2 linked regions of the Canis lupus familiaris genome follow. The protein of the gene in region 1 purifies or fractionates together with the protein of each later gene. This does not show direct contact. Links are inferred from orthologs where the notes say so. Each region holds a gene or a part of one and is shown on either strand. Other genes may lie near its edges.

The links.
Region 2: the proteins of ITPR1 (region 1) and ERLIN2 purify together in Homo sapiens (affinity purification with western blotting, with the first as the bait; 4 studies listed by BioGRID). This does not show direct contact. The link is inferred for Canis lupus familiaris from reciprocal best matches to the Homo sapiens genes ITPR1 and ERLIN2.

The regions. Positions count from the first base shown.
Region 1 is NC_049241.1:12,985,253-12,994,277, reverse strand, and holds part of ITPR1 (inositol 1,4,5-trisphosphate receptor type 1), read left to right. Parts: intron 1-2,549; coding exon 2,550-2,649; intron 2,650-3,841; coding exon 3,842-4,002; intron 4,003-4,499; coding exon 4,500-4,641; intron 4,642-6,349; coding exon 6,350-6,508; intron 6,509-8,609; coding exon 8,610-8,782; intron 8,783-9,025. UniProt on the Homo sapiens protein: Inositol 1,4,5-trisphosphate-gated calcium channel that, upon inositol 1,4,5-trisphosphate binding, mediates calcium release from the endoplasmic reticulum (ER).
Region 2 is NC_049237.1:28,372,197-28,381,740, reverse strand, and holds the start of ERLIN2 (erlin-2), read left to right. Parts: upstream 1-4,868; 5' UTR 4,869-5,255; coding exon 5,256-5,288; exon of another isoform or gene 5,289-5,557; intron 5,558-5,768; coding exon 5,769-5,890; intron 5,891-7,152; coding exon 7,153-7,234; intron 7,235-8,376; coding exon 8,377-8,423; intron 8,424-9,544. UniProt on the Homo sapiens protein: Component of the ERLIN1/ERLIN2 complex which mediates the endoplasmic reticulum-associated degradation (ERAD) of inositol 1,4,5-trisphosphate receptors (IP3Rs) such as ITPR1.

The sequences.
Region 1 (9,025 bases):
CCTTAGGGGTAGTATACTCATTTCCCTGTATCTTAACATTATGCTAAATATTACTTGTTTGAAGATCAGGAAGTCTGAAGGTAGATAAATGAATGTCTCTGAAATGGTATCAGCAAAGGAATTTTTGTGATGGTCACTGGTTACAAGGCGACGCCTGGGTGGCTCAGCAGTTGAGGGCCTGCCTATGGCCCAGGGCGTGATCCTGGAGTCCTGGGATTGAGTCCCACAACGGGCTTCTTGCATGGAGCCTGTTTCTCTCTCCGCCTTTGTTTCTGCCTCTCTCTCTCTCTCTCTCTCTCTCTCTCATGAATAAGTAAATAAAATATTTCTTTTTAAAAAAGAATCTTTCCAAATCAAAATGAAAAGGATAATTGCAAATCCTGGATATACTAAATATGATAATTAAATTGCAATATACATGAAATAGATGCATTACATGAACATTGGGAGAGCATCCAACTTTGTGACTGTTTTATAATTGTCCTGATCTCATGACTTTTGAGTTAAGGATTGGGAATGGGACTTAGAATGAATTGATAGAATGCCCTTTGTATCTTAAATATAATTTGACCTAGAACTTTATAGAATGTAATTATCCAATAAAAACCTAAGCTGCAAGCTTTGGTTATAATTTGAAATTAAGAAAATGAGTGCAAGTCACTCAGAAGAAAAAAGAATTGCAAATCTCTATCAGATTTCTTATTTGTGTTTTTTCATGTATATTTGTTCTAGTTAACGTAAATATCACTATGGTTGCCCGTATTTATAATGTTCAGGGCTGTTAGAATGAGGGAAAGCAGAAGGCAGAGAGGATGTACTGAAGATACATGTCTGGTCTGATGCTCTCCCCATCCCACCTCTTTTCCATGTCAGTACCATTGCTCTAAACTCCTCCTAACACAAATGACTTCTATGGTCCTTTGTCTGTCCCAGCCCCACCAGTGTTCAAAGTTCACTCAAGTTTTCTGTAACAAAAAAAACTTCCATGACTTCCTGAAGCCTCATTAATCTCCTCCTCTGAAAGTCCTTCAGGACTTGACTGTCTCCCAACTTAATGTTTTTTAATGTGCATTTCCTGTTACTTACTATTGCTTGATGTTCATTGATCTTGTCTCACTAATGTGGTAGATTCCTGATGCAAGAACTAAGCCATTATTTCTATTTCCCTAAAGCAAAATTGAAAAACATGGTAAAATTATCCATGTTCACTATAAAACAACAGCTACAAAAATTTGTTAGTGTCATGGAGAGCAAAGAAGCAAAAATTATGTAAAATTTACTATTGAGAGATAACTGTTAACATTATGGTTTATGTAGTTTTAGGTCTCTGGGCACACAAATAACATGTATATAATTTATTATAAATAGAATTATGAGACATTTTTACATTTTCCATTGAATATATTTTGTATACATTTCCAAGTATATATCAATTATAATCATTTAAAATAACTAATATTCTAGTGTATGTACTATAATTAGTCCATTATTGAGACATTGGATTGTTTACAGTTTTCCAGTATTGTAAATAATGCTTTGTTTTTATTTGTACTTGTACTGTCATCTCTTAAGTGAAAAATCTAAAAATGGGATTGCTAGATAAAAAGATAGATACATTGTACTTGTTTTATAAAGTGCCAGACTCCCTTCCAGTGTTCCCACCAGGAGTGAGGACAGATCATTTCCCTAAGCTCTTATAAATACTGGGTTATGTCAGTCTCTAAGATCTTTGGAATATGATACAGTAAGATGATATATAGTTTTAATTTGTATAAATTGTATACAAAGGAGATTGAATGTATACTTCCAAGTTTATTGGCCATTTATATTTTGCTTTATTAAATTACTGGCTTATGTTTTTGTCTCATTTTCATTTCCAGTATTGATGTTCTTTTCTTACTGATTTTAAAGATCTCCTTATAAATGCAGATTAATCACCTTTATATGCCATGTGATATTCTTTCATTTTCCCAGGTTGTCTGTCCTTTCTCTTTAAACTCTGTTCATGATTTTTTTTTCTTTATGGAAGATATAAAATTTAAACTGTATTTTAAGGTGTATCCATCTTTTAAAATTTATGACCCTAGTATGTTGCCAAATGTTTCAATGGCTTTCCCTACCACAAGATTATTAAATATTAACTCATTTTATCCTAGTAATTTTATTTTTTGCTTTATTGATCCATATGAAAATTTCAAGTGTTGCTTCATCATCTCTCATGATACATGTTAATATATACTCGGTAAATACTTTTTGTTACCCTGTCTTATGCTCAGTTTGTTCTGAGATACTTTTTCATAGGAATGATCTTGTATTTAGAAATACAGCATATTCCAATGTTAGAATCATTATGATTTCTTATTGTAAGCATATTAGAATACATCTCAGTATGCAGACGTTTTCTCCTTAGTCTATATTGTCTAGTGTATGTAGCAAAAAACCATTTTGGTATCCCTCTGTATTTTGATAGAATATATTTTAGGCCAGGGGCTATAGAGAACCTAAAAATTCCTGTCCTCCAAATCCTTTTTCTTTATTTTCCCCTTTAGAAACTCCTATGTCCGGCTGAGACACCTGTGCACTAATACCTGGGTTCACAGCACAAATATCCCCATTGACAAGGAAGAAGAGAAACCCGTGATGCTTAAAGTAAGTTCTGGAACTTGGCTGTCTCCTTTGGTCTTGTGCTCCCTAATGAAAAAGCTCCTTTGAGAACAGATGGGGGAATAGGGAGCTGTGTTTTGTTGGTTTGGCCAGTGTGTGGTCATGGACAAAGTTGAATGCAATGAAAGAATTCTCTCCATGGGACCTGGCTAAAGCAAGCCCAGGCTTTTTGAAATAACCAGAACTTTTTATTCCATGGCTTTTGCCCTAAAGATTGAGCAATTGTCTGGATTTCTTGTCTGCTTGAAGGATGATTTTAGCTCAGGGAATGTTTGCTTGTGCCTTGAGGCGCATCAGATACCTAATCAGCTTTCCCCAATCTTTATTATTTCTTTATCTCTCTGTGTATTTAAATATACATTTTTTTAAAAGTTCTCTCAGCCCCTTTAATTTCTCTCCCAGAGGCCCACCTCTCCTTCACTACCTTTTCCAGGGTCATAGAACATAAATTCACAAACATAGGGATTTTATTTTTAAAAAGTGAAATTTTTTTTAGTGATGGGGGAGGTTGTTGGAATTTTTTTCTTCTATTTTTATGAACATTTTCAGGTATATAGAAAAATTGAAGGAATGGTACATTGTCTACCCTTATAAAACTGAGTCAGTAATTACCATTTTGCTTATTTGCCTTTTCCTTATGTATTTATAAACATGTTTTTAAATTACAACAGTCTTAACACGCTTCCTTTAATAAATGGAGGTATGGGGTAGCCTGGGTGGCTCAGCGGTTTGGTGCCGCCTTCGGCCCGGGGTGTGATCCTGGGGACCCAGGATTGAGTCCCATGTTGGGCTCCCTGCATGGAGCCTGCTTCTCCCTCTGCCTGTGTCTCTGCCTCTCTCTCTCTCTGTGTCTCTCACTAATAAATGAATAAAATCTTAAATAAATAAATAAATAAATAAATAAATAATGAATGAATGAATGAATGGAGGCAGGAAATGATACCAGAGCCCATTTTCTGCTTCATGCTTCCCCACAGTAAGAATCTCTAGAGAGGTAACAACTGTTAGTGATTTGAGGTACTTCTTTCCAGATATGTTCCTATGTCTTGTTGATTTTAACGGCAAGGTATAGCTCCAGCTTTTTGGATAGCCCAGTGTCCCGTAAATATAGTGCTTGTTTGAAGTTTTGCTTTCTCAATCCAAAAGACAGTTCCATGAAGACCATTTTGCTTTTCAGATTGGCACCTCCCCTGTGAAAGAGGATAAGGAAGCTTTTGCCATAGTTCCAGTTTCTCCTGCTGAAGTTCGGGACCTGGATTTTGCCAATGATGCCAGCAAAGTGCTGGGCTCCATAGCTGGGAAGCTGGAGAAAGGCACCATCACCCAGAATGAAAGAAGGTGAGGCTTCCCACAAGAACCAGACACACTCATCCTCAGCCCCTGGATTTTTTTTTAATCCCTTGCTGCAGAAAGACTAAATGCCAACTGTGAACAGTTTTATGTGAGAGGAACAGGCCTTAGCCTTTATATGTGGCTTCTACTGGTGATTTTCAAGAACCACATTGACTTCTTTGAGTCTCTAAAGTTGAAAAGATCATCTTTTTTCTTTGTCTCTAATTTGGCCTCTGGGGCTACCTAAGTAAATGTTAGGGGCCAGTGTTACTCTGAAATAAAATTTGATGGCTTATATTTTGTGAAGGTGGTTATCCTTTTGTGGACAATAATGTGTTGTGTGTATTTTACTCTTTTTGGTAATTGGTTGTCATGTTTAAGGAAATTGGGAAGAATGGATCTGCTTGTGTTTGACTCATCAGGGCCGAAGTCTTCTAAGGTGAAGCTTCCAACCTATTGGATGTTGACTGTTCCCCATCTCTAATAGCTTCTTTCTCCCTAAGGTCTGTAACCAAGCTACTGGAAGACTTGGTTTACTTTGTCACTGGTGGCACTAACTCTGGTCAAGACGTACTTGAAGTGGTATTCTCCAAGCCCAACAGGGAGCGGCAGAAGCTGATGAGAGAACAGAATATCCTCAGGCAGGTCTGTGAGATGCGACATACCTGCAGTCTTTGTAAGAAATCAGTAGGCTCACTGCTTTTACAGAGAGCATGGATGGCTCCCACCTGGAAGGCTTGATCAACTGACTTTTCAAGAAAAGAGACTTGATTTTTATAGAGCAGTTTTGAGTTCATAACAATAGTGAGTGGACAGCACAAAGTTTATACCTCCTGCCCACACACATGCATAGCCTTACCTATCATTAACATTCACCACTGTAGTGGTGCATTTGATACAGTTGTTAAACCTGCATTGACACATCATAATCCCCCCAAATCTATAGTTTACATTAAGGTTTGCTCTTGGTGTTTGTACACTATTTGGGTTTAGGCCAATGTATAATTACATATCCATTATTACAGTATTATGCAGAATATTTTCACTGTCCTAAAAATCTTCTGTACTGTGCCTATTCATCCCTCATTCCCCTCAACCCCTGGCAACCACTGATCCTTTTACTGCTATCATAGTTTAGCCTTTTCCAGAATGTCATATAGTTGGAATCATACAGTATTTAGTTCTATGTTCTTTCATTTAGTAATATGCATCTAAGATTCCTCTGTAAATTTTCATGGCTTCCTAGCTCAGTTCAGTTGAAAACATACTAGTTGACTATCAACATGTGAGAATTTACCTGTTGGGAACTCCAAGAAGTGTTCACTTGACGACTTCATTTTCGTCAAAAACATTAACAAGTTCTCTGTGTCCTTAAGGTTATTTCATATGTCTGGGAAGATTTGGAGTATTTGATAAATAGTGACCTCTATAAACCATCACAAAATCTTACCATAAAGAATGAATAAATGGCTTACTGGACAAATATAGATAGTATTACCTGGTATAAATTTAAATAAAATGGTGTAAAGATAAATTATAGGGAGGTAAGTGACAAGAGTAGATGAAGTGCACAGAAATGCATACCATATAGTTCTCTACAGCTATATATTGGCTACATACTTGGCTTAGAAATTCCTGGCCACTAAAATCCAAAGAGAAACCTATTCATTACTAGTCCTGTAGTTCTCCATGGGAACTTGGGATTTGAGAATCCTTTCTCCTGTCAGTTGATGATAGACAAAATTTATTAAAACTCCATCATGTTTCAGCAAGGATTTCCAGTCCAAGAATAAATTATGTCCAGCTGTTCCATGGGATGACTCCCAGATTAGACCTCTGGCTTAATGCCAATGCTCATTTCCACAGTGGTAATTCCTTGAGGGGCCAGAATGATCAGATTCCAGGGCAGAAACCTTCACTGAGCACTATATTTATGCAACTGACAATTATTATCTACTTTATCCTTAAGACCCCCTTGTAACTCAGTGATATTCTTTCCATTTTACTGATGAGAAAACCAAAAGCTACCTTGACTGTGCTTTATACCACTAGGGAATAATGCAGGAGTGAGTTCAACTTAAAATTTGCTAATTCCAAAGTCTATACTTTTAACCACTGCCCTACACACCACACTTGCAAGTGTTTGAGGACCAATAAGGTCCAGGTGGCCTGAATTCAGTGAGTAGCCAGTCTCAGTTGATGGATTGTGTGTAATTTTCAGATTATTGATGTTGATCTAGAAAGATTTGCCTGTGCAGTCCCACCACCTGTGAGGTTGTATTAGTTTAAGACCAAGGGTTAGCCATTAACTCTGTAAATGATGGCAGCATTCATTCTTCCTTCTCACAATCAGATCTTCAAGTTGTTACAAGCCCCATTCACAGACTGTGGCGATGGCCCCATGCTGCGGCTGGAGGAGCTTGGGGATCAGCGGCATGCCCCATTCAGACATATCTGCCGGCTCTGCTACAGGGTCCTGAGACACTCCCAGCAAGACTACAGAAAAAACCAGGTTGGTATTCGGGATGGATGGGAAGTAATGGGCAGCTTCATCCCTGAAGTTCATGTACTCGCCTCATGAGTTTTAAGTCTCACATCTATAGTTACTTAATGACTAGAGATTAGTTTATTAAGTTCACGCTTAGAAAGGAAATAAATTTTTGCAAGCCTCAGAAGATAGAGTCCTTAAGAAAGATGCCAGAGAAGTTCCCTTCTGCAGCCACCTTTCAATGAGAGTTTTCTTTTGGCATTGGTATTACATTTTTATTGCCTTATGGAAAATGATTACATGGGTTTATATTAAAGGAAGAGTGGAATCTTTTCTTCCTGCTCCCTTCCATAGTCTACATGTCTGCTGGTAACTTTATTTTGATTTTGGCTCATATTTTATGACATTCTAAGTCCTTGTCTATGTCATGGCACTATATATATTATCCTCTCCCCATGAAATAAATGTTCTAACCTCTCTGGGGTTTCCCATTATTTTGGTATTTTAAGGAAGCCTGTGAACTGTGTTACACATTTAGTAGTTCTCAGCTGGAACTAATATTGTCCCCCAGGAAGTATTTGACAATTTCAGGGGACCCTTTTGAGTGTCACAACTTGGAGGTGCTCCTGGCACCTAGTGGATAGAAGCCACTGATGCTACTAAATATCCAGGAATGCACAGGACATCCCCATCTGCAAATAGTTATCCAGCCCGATAGTCCGTAGTGCTGAGGTTGAGAGGCCCTGCACTATGTTACTCTAAGTACTGTAGGTGCATAGATGATGCTTATGAAAACCTTGATTCCCAGTCTCTGCGTTGTGTTACAAAAAGCTTTTGTTTGTAAACTTTTGACTGCCTCAACATCTGGCCTTTAAATTTAAGCTTTTCTCTGTAATTAAGGTTTTTTATATTTTGTCATGAAGATAGTATTAAACTTAAGCAATGCTCTAAAGTATTAGATATAATGTTGTTAGCAAATATTGCTAAGCTTTTGACTTTGCCTTTGGTATTGTTGAAATTAAAAGTATCCTATACCTATGATGTTGCGTTCATTAATCTGGACAGGTGGTCTTTGGGTGCTCTGATTGCTTTAAATTCACCTGCGGTGTGTCAATACCATACTCAAATAGTGCCAAAGAGATTTTATTCTCTTTCTCTGCTATCTTCAGATAAGGATGCATTGGAGCCTGTAGTGTGTGCCAGCACATTTTGCTTCTACATGAAAAGACCAAACCATTCCCTCTTACTGCTGCTACATTGACTATCTCTGCTTATTATTTATGGATTCTATGCCACTTGGCATAAGTGTATCTTTGAGGGCTGGTGAATTCCTAAATGTGCATCCTTATTGAGCATGGGCTGAAAAGTGGCCAGTGTCCACTGTGGACACTCTGAGTAGTTTTTAGGTTTTTGGAATTAATTTTAAAAAATTAAGCCAAGTTTCAAGGGCTTTTGGAACTTTCAGTAAACAAATTGTCTTGGGAAGGGAAATATTTTTGAATAGAAAGAAGCAATATCTTCAAGAGGCTTCCCTGAGTTCCTCATATATTGTTATGGAACATCATGTCTGATCCCCAAAGAGAGAAGCCAGAGATGTTGTCATAGGTTCTATGAATCTGGTTGACTGGCTTAGGTATTCCTAACTTGCTTCTGCTACCCATTGGCTATAAAAATGTATTTTCACCCCAGTTAAAGAATACAGAATGGGGTAATATTGTTCTAAATAGCTAGGTAGGCTTAAGTATATTTATTCAGCAGCATAGAGGAGCAAGGCACAGTTAAATCCTCTTGAATTAGTAATAAAATCAGAGCTGAAAAACAGCTTTTGACCTTTTAGGAAAATAAGTCACCACATTAATATTTATACTGTGCACTTACTAAAATGCCCATCTGTACATACAGGATAATTTGCTTAATTACATTTGTGTGGCAGGTTTAGTAAAATGAAGGATGTGGGGGAGTTTGCAGCTGCTATCCTAGATTAGAAAGTTGTGGAAAGATGCTCCACTAGGATTTCCCTTACAAACAATCATTCTCATCAGGGACTGTTGCTGTTTTCCTCAGTTTTGGGTTGAACTTAATATTTTTTGGTCTCTCTGTCAACCTTTCTTTTCTTCCTTAAAAGGAGTACATAGCCAAGCAGTTTGGCTTCATGCAAAAACAGATTGGCTACGATGTGTTGGCCGAAGACACCATCACTGCCCTGCTTCACAATAACAGAAAACTCCTGGAAAAACACATCACCGCTGCTGAGATCGACACATTTGTCAGTCTGGTGCGAAAGAACAGGGAGCCCAGGTGAGGCGGAGGTGGGCCTGATTGGCAGAATGTGTCTGACCAAACCAGTCATGGTGCTTTGGGCTGGGTTTCCTTTTTGAGGGCTGCCAGAGGCAGATGTCATTTAGGCCAGTCTTGAGAGGCTCTTGGATGAGTAGCGGAAAGAACAGACCTGTGGTGGAATCCTAGCTCTAACATTTACCAGCTGGGTGACCTTCACTTTCCCCTTGAGCTTTAATTTCCTTCTATGCTAAATGGATGGTT
Region 2 (9,544 bases), on another chromosome or scaffold:
ATCTCTAGATAATTATTCTGGCCAAAAAAATAATAAAGTAAAATAAGGGATGCCTGGCTGGCTCAGTTGGTTAAGCAGCTGCCTTTGGCTCAGGTCATGATCCCAGGGTCCTAGGATCAAGCCCTGTATCAGGCTCCCTGCTCAGCACTCTCTACCACTTGTGCTCTCTCTCACATGCTTACACTCTTTTGCTCTCTAATATATAAATAAAATCTTTTAAAAAATAAAAAGAAGCCAGACATACCCTCCCCTGCAAAATGAGTCCATACTGTATGATTCCTTTTGTATAAGATTGTACAAAATGCAAACTAATCTATAGTGACAAGATCAGCTGTTGCTTGAAAATTGGGGTTGCAGGATCATGGAGGGGGTAGGAGGGGGAGATTGTCAAGGAGATGAGGAAATGTGGGGGCATGATGCATGTGTTCATTATCTGGATTGTGGTAATGGTTTCACAGGTGTATACATATGTCAAAACTTATCAAGTTATACACTCTATATACACTTTATTGTGGGCCAATTATACCTCAATAAAGCTGTAAAAACATATCATCACAAAATGATCTTTAGGTGACTTCCAACCGACTTCCAACTCCATTTTTTTTTTCATGAATCCCCTTTGATCCCTTTACCAAACTCCTTTGAAGAAAATATTATCAGCCCCGGGTAAATATCCTTTTGTTCTTAAAAGGAACCAATCCTGGTTTTTGCAACTGAAAATAAGAGGGGGAATGTTGTAAGTAACCCCCTTCATGATTATTAGGGACATAATTCTTCACTTCTCTTCTCCCAAGCTCACCAAAATCTTACTGGGATCCAATGTCCTGAAAGAAGACCTCTATTTCCTGTTTTAGCGCATAAAGAAGAAAAATCAAAAACTTTTTCCAGCAACGTCCAATCTTGCACTACAGATGAAGCCCAAGATTCTAAGAGTTGCCTGGTTCCTTTGGCCAACCTGGTTATTAATAATTTTGCTCTAACTGTGCAAAAAGGGAGTCTCTTCTCTCTTTGGAGTGGCTCTCTCACCAACAAGCTTAGTAAGAGGACCAAACAAACAGCTATCCAGAGAGAGCAAGATGTGGGTGGTTGGGGTGAGACTACGTTTTATCCTGCTCCAACCCACAACTGCAAAATAAACTGGTCCGATTTAAAGTTTTGCAATTTCTCACCACTGGTCTACATTCCTAAAAGGTTACATGTGAGATAAATGTGCTAACTCTGTGTGTGTGTGTGTGTGTGTGTGTACGCGTATGTGTGTGTGTGTTTTAAGTTGAATCATTATTTTCCCATTCATTTACTATAAGAAAGAAATAGACTTGGGATCACATGGATTCTGCTTTGCAATATACAAGTTTTGTGGTCTTGGGCAATCCCTTGACTTCTCCAAGCTTTAACTTCCTCCTCTAACATGGAGTTGATCTCAAAGGGCTGACCTCAAGATCATATAAAATGAGAATGGCATAGGGCCTGGTACGTGGAAAGCACTAGATAATGCTTCGAAATTTGTATTGTAAATAAATATCTGTTGAAGTAGAATTTCAGAGTCCCTTATCTCTCCTTTTGATAAGCCTTCATTTGGTTATTACTCAATACCACATAACTTTAAGCTTATCCTTCTCTCACCTTCTGTCACATTAATAATCCAAATCCACAAACAGACAAGAACATGTTACAGGAATTTGCTATTTAAAGCAGCAACAGCTAACATTATTGAAGACTTAAAATGTGCCAAACATTGTGTATGCTTTTTTTCTTGAAGTATAGGTGATATACAATGTCATATTAGTCTCATGTCCACAACACAGTGATCTAACAATTCTGTACATGACTCAGTGCTCACTATGATAAGTGTAGTCACCATCTGTCACCAAACAACATAATTACAATATTATTGTCCATATTCCCTATGCTGTACTTTTCATCTTCATGACTTAATTATTTTATAACTGGAAGTTTGTGCCTCTTAATCCCTTTTGCCTATTTCACCTATCCACCCACCTACTTCCTTTCTGGAAAGTACCAGTTTGTTCTCTGTATTTAAGAGCCTGGTGTTTTGCTTGTTTGTTCATTTGTTGTTTTTTAGATTCCACATATAAGTGAAATCATATGGCATTTGTCTTTTTCTGTCTGACTTATTTCACTTACCATAATACCCACTAGGTCCATCCATGTTGTTACAAGTGGCAAAACTTCATTCTGTTTTATGGCTGAATAACGTTTGTGTATATATACCCCACATACGCCACTACCATTCATCTAGGGATGGACACTTGGGCTGCTTCCACATCGTGGCTATCGTAAATAATGCTGTAATAAACATAGTGGTGCATGTATCTTTTCAAATTAGTGTTTTCATTTTCTTTGGATAAATATCCAGTAATGGAATTACTGGATCATATGGTATTTCTACTTTTAATTTTTTGAGAAACCTCCATATTGCTTTCCACTGTGGTCATACCAATTTACATTCCTAACAACAGCACATGAGGGTTCCCTTTTCACCACATCCTGGCCAGCACCTGTTATTTCTTGTCTTTTTGAGTCTAGCCATTCTGATAGGTGTGAAGTGTTATCTCATTGTGTAAGTGCTTTCCTTGATCAGCCATTTATTGCTTACAACAGTCCTAGAAGGTTTATACTATTATTGCCCCCATTTTATAGATAAAGAAATTGGAGCACAGATAGATTAATTCATTTTCCAAGGTCACACAGCTAACAGGAGGCGTGGAGTGGAGTGAAGGGGTAGGATTCAAATTCAGCAATCTGACTGTGGAGTATCTACACTTAACCGCAACTCTTTTACCACAAGTTGTTTTTTAAAAATGGGTTTTTAAACACTTTTGTTAAATCATCACAGGCTTACCTGCTGCTTGATAATGCTGGATATTGTCAGAAAAATCACAGGGGGCCTTAAGAAAATGATTTTCAGAAATGCTAGACCATCTACTGAAGTTCATCCCCAGCCTCTAGGCAATGCCACAGTTAAATAGCTCAGGCCTGGCAAAAAGCTTCTTGAGAACAGAATCCCACAACTTCCACTCACAGTTCATGCCAAAGTTGAACAGTCAGGAAATTCTTAAATTACAACTAATTCAGATCCTTTATGCTGCACATGAAGGCCCATCGCTTGGGCTGATAAACCTCAATATTTCCATTTTTCTGACTCATTCACTCAACTATTAAATAAACGTATTAAGTGCGACCAGCTGAATTATATCACTGAGCCCGTAGACAAAAAGCCCTTAGGTGCCGAAAGGATGGATCAGGAGATTGGCCAGCTGGGAGGAGGGGGGATTTGTAGCCACAGGCTAAGACAAGAGCCCTCACTGACAGAGGTGGGCACACCGAGTGCCCAGGCAGCAGCACCAGGCAGCCACGTGTGGGCTTCACCATTCAATGCCAAGGCATCCCAGCACAGACTCATCCAGAGCAAACCCAGGGTGAATTCCAAGCAGATACGCCTGGAAAACCTATGCTTTCCTTTGCCTGTGTCCTGAATCTGTCTACCACCACCATCTTGCCATCTTCTCTGTGTAAAAGCTTTTCATTTACTGAGGGCTGCAATTAAGTGGACGTTCTCTCCTGCAAACAAAAATAACTTCAGCAGCTGAATTAGAAAGGCCCCAGCGCGCTGCTGCTGAACAGCCAAGGCTGCGGACAATGTGAAGCCCTCAGACCAGGACACTCGAGGTCAGGATCCTGCTCCTGATGCCACGGTGCCTCCAGTGTGCACTTACTGAGCACGGGAAGTGCAGACGCAGCCCCTGCCCTCAGGGAGCTTACAGTCCTGTAAGGGGGGGGGGGGCGGCGTAAGCTAAGCTGGCCGGTGTTACAAAGGCAGTTAAGCTCCCGATGGTTAAGAAGCGCCAAGGAGGCTTTCATCCACTGTCACCCTCGCGCCTCACTGAGCTCAAGATTCTGCTAAAACTCGAATAATTCCTTCTTCAGCTGTTGAAATAGTGCCGTGAGGACCTCAAAGGCCAAGGATCCTAAAAAAAAAAAAAAAAAAAAAAAAAAAAGCATAAAGGGCAATCCCAAATAGGGACTGTTTGTTGATGAACGAGGTCACGGTGCTAATGCACGCACTAAAAGATGTGCTAGGTTCCGCCGCGCCGTAGAAAAGCGCGAGCAGAGGGCGAGAAGGGCTGCAGCTCGCTGTACCCGCTCCGAAAAACAACACACGCGGGGCGCGGGGGGCGGGGAGATCCGGAGCAAATTCCGAAGCTGGAACTTCGGAAAGCGACACCCTCAGTCACTCAGCACCGCGGCCACTAGCGTTCTCCGCCGCGTCACCCTCCAGGCGCTGCGCACCGTCCCCACCCGCGAAGCCTAAACCCAGGTCCTGACCCGCCGGACCCAGCCGCGGGCGCCGCCTGGTGCCCATGCGCGGACTCCGACAGGTCGGAGCGCGGGGGCGGGGCTGGCGCGCTAAGGGTGGGGGCTCTTCTCGCGTGAACTAATGGCGTCATCAGAGCGACGGGCCCGGAAGGAAGTAGCGTGTGGAGGGCGTGGCGGTTTCTACGGTTGCCCTGGGGTTCGGACGAGTACGGAGCGCCTGGAGGGACAGCCTGGTACGCGGCCCCCGCCCCTTAGCGTGCGCGCTGGGCCTAGTTGCGGCTCCCGGCCGGAGCTTCTCAGCGGTCCTCCCGGGCCCCGGGCCCAGCCACCCCCCTCCCTCAGGACCAAGAAAGCCATCCCTGTCTGTTCCGTCCCTTCCCCGCGAGCCCCGAGCGCTTGGGACGCGCGACCCCCTGTCGGGGGAGGGCAGGGAAGGGGCGGGGAGGGGAGGGGAGGGGAGGGGAGGGGAGGGGGGCACTTGCAGACAGGACGCAGCTGCAGATCGGTAGCTGGAGTCGGTCACGGTAAAAGCAGCGCCTTGCAGATGTCCGAGCCCGAGTCCTGTTAGCCCCGGGAGGCGGGGTCCACGCCCCGCGCGGGGGCCCCCGGGCCGCCTGACTGGGAGCTTCTTCCGTTGCCATCGTTTTTCCAGATCCTTCAGGGCCCGGGAAATGAGCCTGGACGCCAGCTGTCTGTCCTCCTGGCGCTGGCACTCCCTGGGACCCGGGACCCCGGTCTTCCCACCCTGGGGAGCCCTCTTCTGCTCTAACCCTGCGCTTGGGGACCCGTCGGGTGCAAAGTGCCAGTCAAGTGTACGGGAGGGTGTATTCAGAGCCCTCCCCTGCCGCTTAGGGCCGAAGGAATAACTGGGAAGGTGGACGGAAGGCCAGAGAACCCCACCGTGCAACTCTGCTCACATGCTGCCTCTGTCGCCCCAGCATCTGAAAGGAGTAAATAATGGTTTCCTTTGGAGTGGCAGGCAATTAGGACGGCAGGCTCTGACCAGCATTACACAGCCACAACTGCCTGTCACTTGACATCCTCTGTAATTTGGGCAACCTACTGCAGCTGCCTCTCTTCCCTTTTACTAGTAGGAGTGTCTCCAGTGACAGCACATTCGTGTTCCCAGGAAGAGAAGGCTGTGTTCTGAACGCTGCCCAGTTGGCTCTGCTTCTCTCTCGGGCCCGGCTGTCTCTGGGGCCACTGCCTCCTCAAGGAGGTAGGGAATATAATCCCACAGTGAAGGAAGGAGTGGGAACGTTGCCTGAGAGCAAGCATGAGGCGGGTTGTTGGCGTAGCCTTGTGTTCAGGCTTCAACAGGCTGGGTCTGAGCCACTTGCAGGAAGCTCAGCTTAGTGAGGGGCTCTTCCTGTCACGGCTTTTCTCGTGCATGTCGGGCCACACACATTTTCCTGCGTCTTTTTCCCCAGGATACAGGTTCGCTGATGGCTCAGTTGGGAGCAGTTGTGGCTGTGGCTACCAGTTTCTTTTGTGCATCTCTCTTCTCAGCTGTGCACAAGATAGAAGAGGGACATATTGGGGTGTATTACAGGTAAGGAAGAGACAGGAAGAAGCTTGCAACTTCCTGTTAAATGACTTTCCTAGTCACTGGCCGATTCTATTGGACATCTGTGAATATTGAGTAGAGGAGTCTTTTAGATTGAGCTGTTGTGTCAGTGACCATGGAAACAGGTGTACACCCACACTCATATACATTTATAAAACTTAATCTTACATTGATGCCATGGATGGCGAACCATAAATGTGTATAGAGATTTAGAGACAAAATCTGAAGGAAACCAGTGCTTGCAGATCATCCCTGAAACATTGTTTTCCCCTATATCCCTTGCAGGCATCCTGGTGCCACAAAGTTACCTCCAGTGAGCACCAGTTCATGATGGCCACTTGAGGAGCTGGCCTGCTCCGCTAGTTTGTACCCACTCATTAAAATTAACATTTCAAGAAAAAAGAAGAATCCTGCAGATTGACATATATCTGTCAAGGCAAGCCCTAGGATAGTAGTTCTTACAAGAAAGGAACCCAGTTGTGTTACTGTCTATTTTGTTACTCTCTTTTTTGAAAAAAAAAAAAAAATAGTGTATTTTCTTCATAATACAAAGCAAAGAAGCACTTCTAAATCTTGGGTTGCTTTCCTTCCAGTAACCTCCATGACCAAGTCTTTTGCTTTAAGTCTTTATGAATTCCTCCTTATATATGCCCAAGATGCCTATTCCTGGACTGCCAGTAGCAAGTTCTGGAAGCCTCATTGGGCTCCACTCTCTGCTTTATTTCTCCCCACATTCTGCTCATATGTCCCCCAAAAAGGCTTTAATTTTGTTACCCTTTACACATAACTTGGTTATAAAGGTAATTCTGCCCAAAAAAAAGTACATATATGTTTTTTAAAGCATTCTGAAAATTATTCTTTTGCTTGTTCGTGCCCCTGGACTCCAACATTACTGCAGTTGATTGGATAATTGTATTACTGGACTTAACCGCCCCCATGGATTGCCGCAATGGATATGACCAAGTGAAACTTCTCATCTGTTAAGGATTGCCGGGGATCCTGCTGTCTTCATTCCGCCTAGCCCATGTGCCTATTTTCCTGCTGCAAAAGCATGAATAATGGTTTTATGTTTTACTATCAGGCTTCCTATAATATGAGGGTTGAGCTGAGAGGAAGGGGTCTGTGGACATGGCTCAGGCACGTGTCACTGTATGAAACATGTATGGGACTATAGAGAAAGTCAGTGCAAATAGTATTGCTGTGATCAATACCTCTTGCTAAACTGTTTCTCTCTTCCTCCTCTGCAGAGGTGGAGCCCTCCTGACTTCTACCAGCGGCCCAGGTTTCCATCTCATGCTTCCTTTCATCACCTCATATAAGTCTGTGCAGGTAAACTCAGTGTGTAGGGTGTGTTTGAGCCACTGCAGGTTTGGGGTGTTTACCAACACATGATTTGGAATTATTTCCCATTACATGAGTATAATGCCTTTTCAAGGAATCATATATACAGGATTCCTTGATAGGATCTATGTCCTGTAGATATATATGATATATATATATGTTTATGTATATATACATATATATGTGTGTGTGTGTGTGTATATATATATATATAAAGAATGAGGCTCCATGAACCACATACTCTAGAGCTTTATTTGACTGTTGAAATAGCTGAATGGGGTCATTGCATTGGCCCATCACTCCCAGCTGGGAATTATTTTTTCACTTCAAGGTAGAGCCAGAGAAGAATCAGTTCTGAATGTATAGAAGGAGAAGTAGGATGTGTGTGTCTGTGTGTTTAAATCACAGGCTACCAAGATAAATGGAAATGAAACACAGTAATTTTGCTGGTTCTTGTTTGAACTTCATAGATGTAAACATAATTTGGAGGGTTAGGGGAAAGGAAAGTTGGACTTGGTGAAGGGAAATGACATTTGAAGGAAAAGTAGGATTAGTTATGATAGATCTAAAGCCTGGCTAAGTTAAACTAGCCATCTTTGAAGTATGTCCAGCTACAAGGGTTAAGGAGATTTAGAAAATGACTTTTAAACTGACCCAGGAAAATATCCTGGAGCACCTCATCAGCATTCTCTGTTCATTTCTTCTGCCATTTCCTGTGCTTGATGGTTTTCAGAGTGCATTTATGCCCAGGATCTCAGGAGTCTAACAGTAATTCTGAGAAGGGGTTGAGCCAGGTTAAATACAGAATCCTCTTGTTTTGAGACTAGTAAAGAAGACAGCAGAGGTAAAGATGGGTCTTAAGACTCCTAATCCAGGGTTGTTTTCATTAAACCATTTTTACTCAGCTTTTTCGTGTGATGATTCACTTACAGTGAGGCTGGGCTTGCGTACCTTTGTTCGTCTGGGCCTCACACTCTGTGTAAATAAAGATTAGGCTGAGTGTTCATGTTTAACAAGGGCAAAGCTCAACCCAGTTAACCTCAAGGACCAGGCCATTTGGGATTCCAAAACTAAGCTACTTTGCTCAGCACTGCCCATCTTACATCCTTTTATGTCTCTTCTATTTCTAGACCACACTGCAGACAGATGAGGTGAAGAACGTGCCATGCGGAACTAGGTAAGGTGCCTGGAGTGAAGCAGTCAAGCCTGCATTAGCGGGAGGGCCATCTGGCTACAGTTATAGACCGTGAAGAGAAGCATTCCTTCTGGGTGGTTCCACCAAGTTCCCTGCCTTCTGGCTCGCTAGGTGCCAGTGTGACTAGGCAGTGCAGTGCAGTAGGGAAAATCACAGAAGGTAGACAGGTTTGGGAGGGCCTTGAATGCTGTGGTAAGTTTGGGCTTTTTCTGTGACAAGTGAAGATCCACCAGAAGCTTTTAGCAGATAAATGACTTGATAGAAGAAGGTACGTTTAGCATAACCAGCTATGGAGAATGTCGTAAAGGTGGAGGGTGACCTTGGGGGGTCTGGAAATCCAAGCAGAACACCAGTCTGGTAGTCTGATTGGAAGGTAAAGATCTAAATTGGAATAAAGTAAGAGGGATACCTGGGTGGCTCAGTGGTTGAGCATCTACCCTTAGCTCAGGGCATGATCCTGGGGTCCTGGGATCAAGTCCTGCATCAGACTCCTCACAGGGAGCCTGCTTCTCCCTCTGCCTATGTCTCTGCTTCTCTCTGTGTGTCTCTTATGAATAAATAAATAAAATCTTTAAGAAAAGAAAAAAGGAATAGAGTAACAAACACCACCACAGGGAAACATTCAAGGAGGGCAAATCCAGGATTAGGGCATCACACAGGACAAATGGCCTGATTGCATCACAAGGAGGAGCTTTGGGTTGTAAAGGAGACATGAAAGACATTAACAAAGCAATGATGAGCCTTAATTAGAACCTGGTTCAAGAACACCATCTATGAAAGACACAGGGGGACTGTCAGCTCGGGTGGCCATAAGAGAGTGCCACAGACTGAGTGGAAACTCAGAGTCCAAGGTGCCAGCAAAGTTGGTTTCTAGTGAAGCCTCTTTTCCTCGCTTGCAGATGGCCACTATGCCGTGTCCTCATGTGCCCTTTCCTCCATGCACACAGAGAGAAAATCTCTGGTGTCTGCCTCTTTGCCTTTACCAGGCCGATCAGGTTAGGGCCCCACCTATGGCTTCATGGAGCCTTAATTACTACCTTAAGGCCCTATCTCAATACAGTCACATGGGGGTTTTATTTAGAATTTCAGCAAGTTGATTTTTG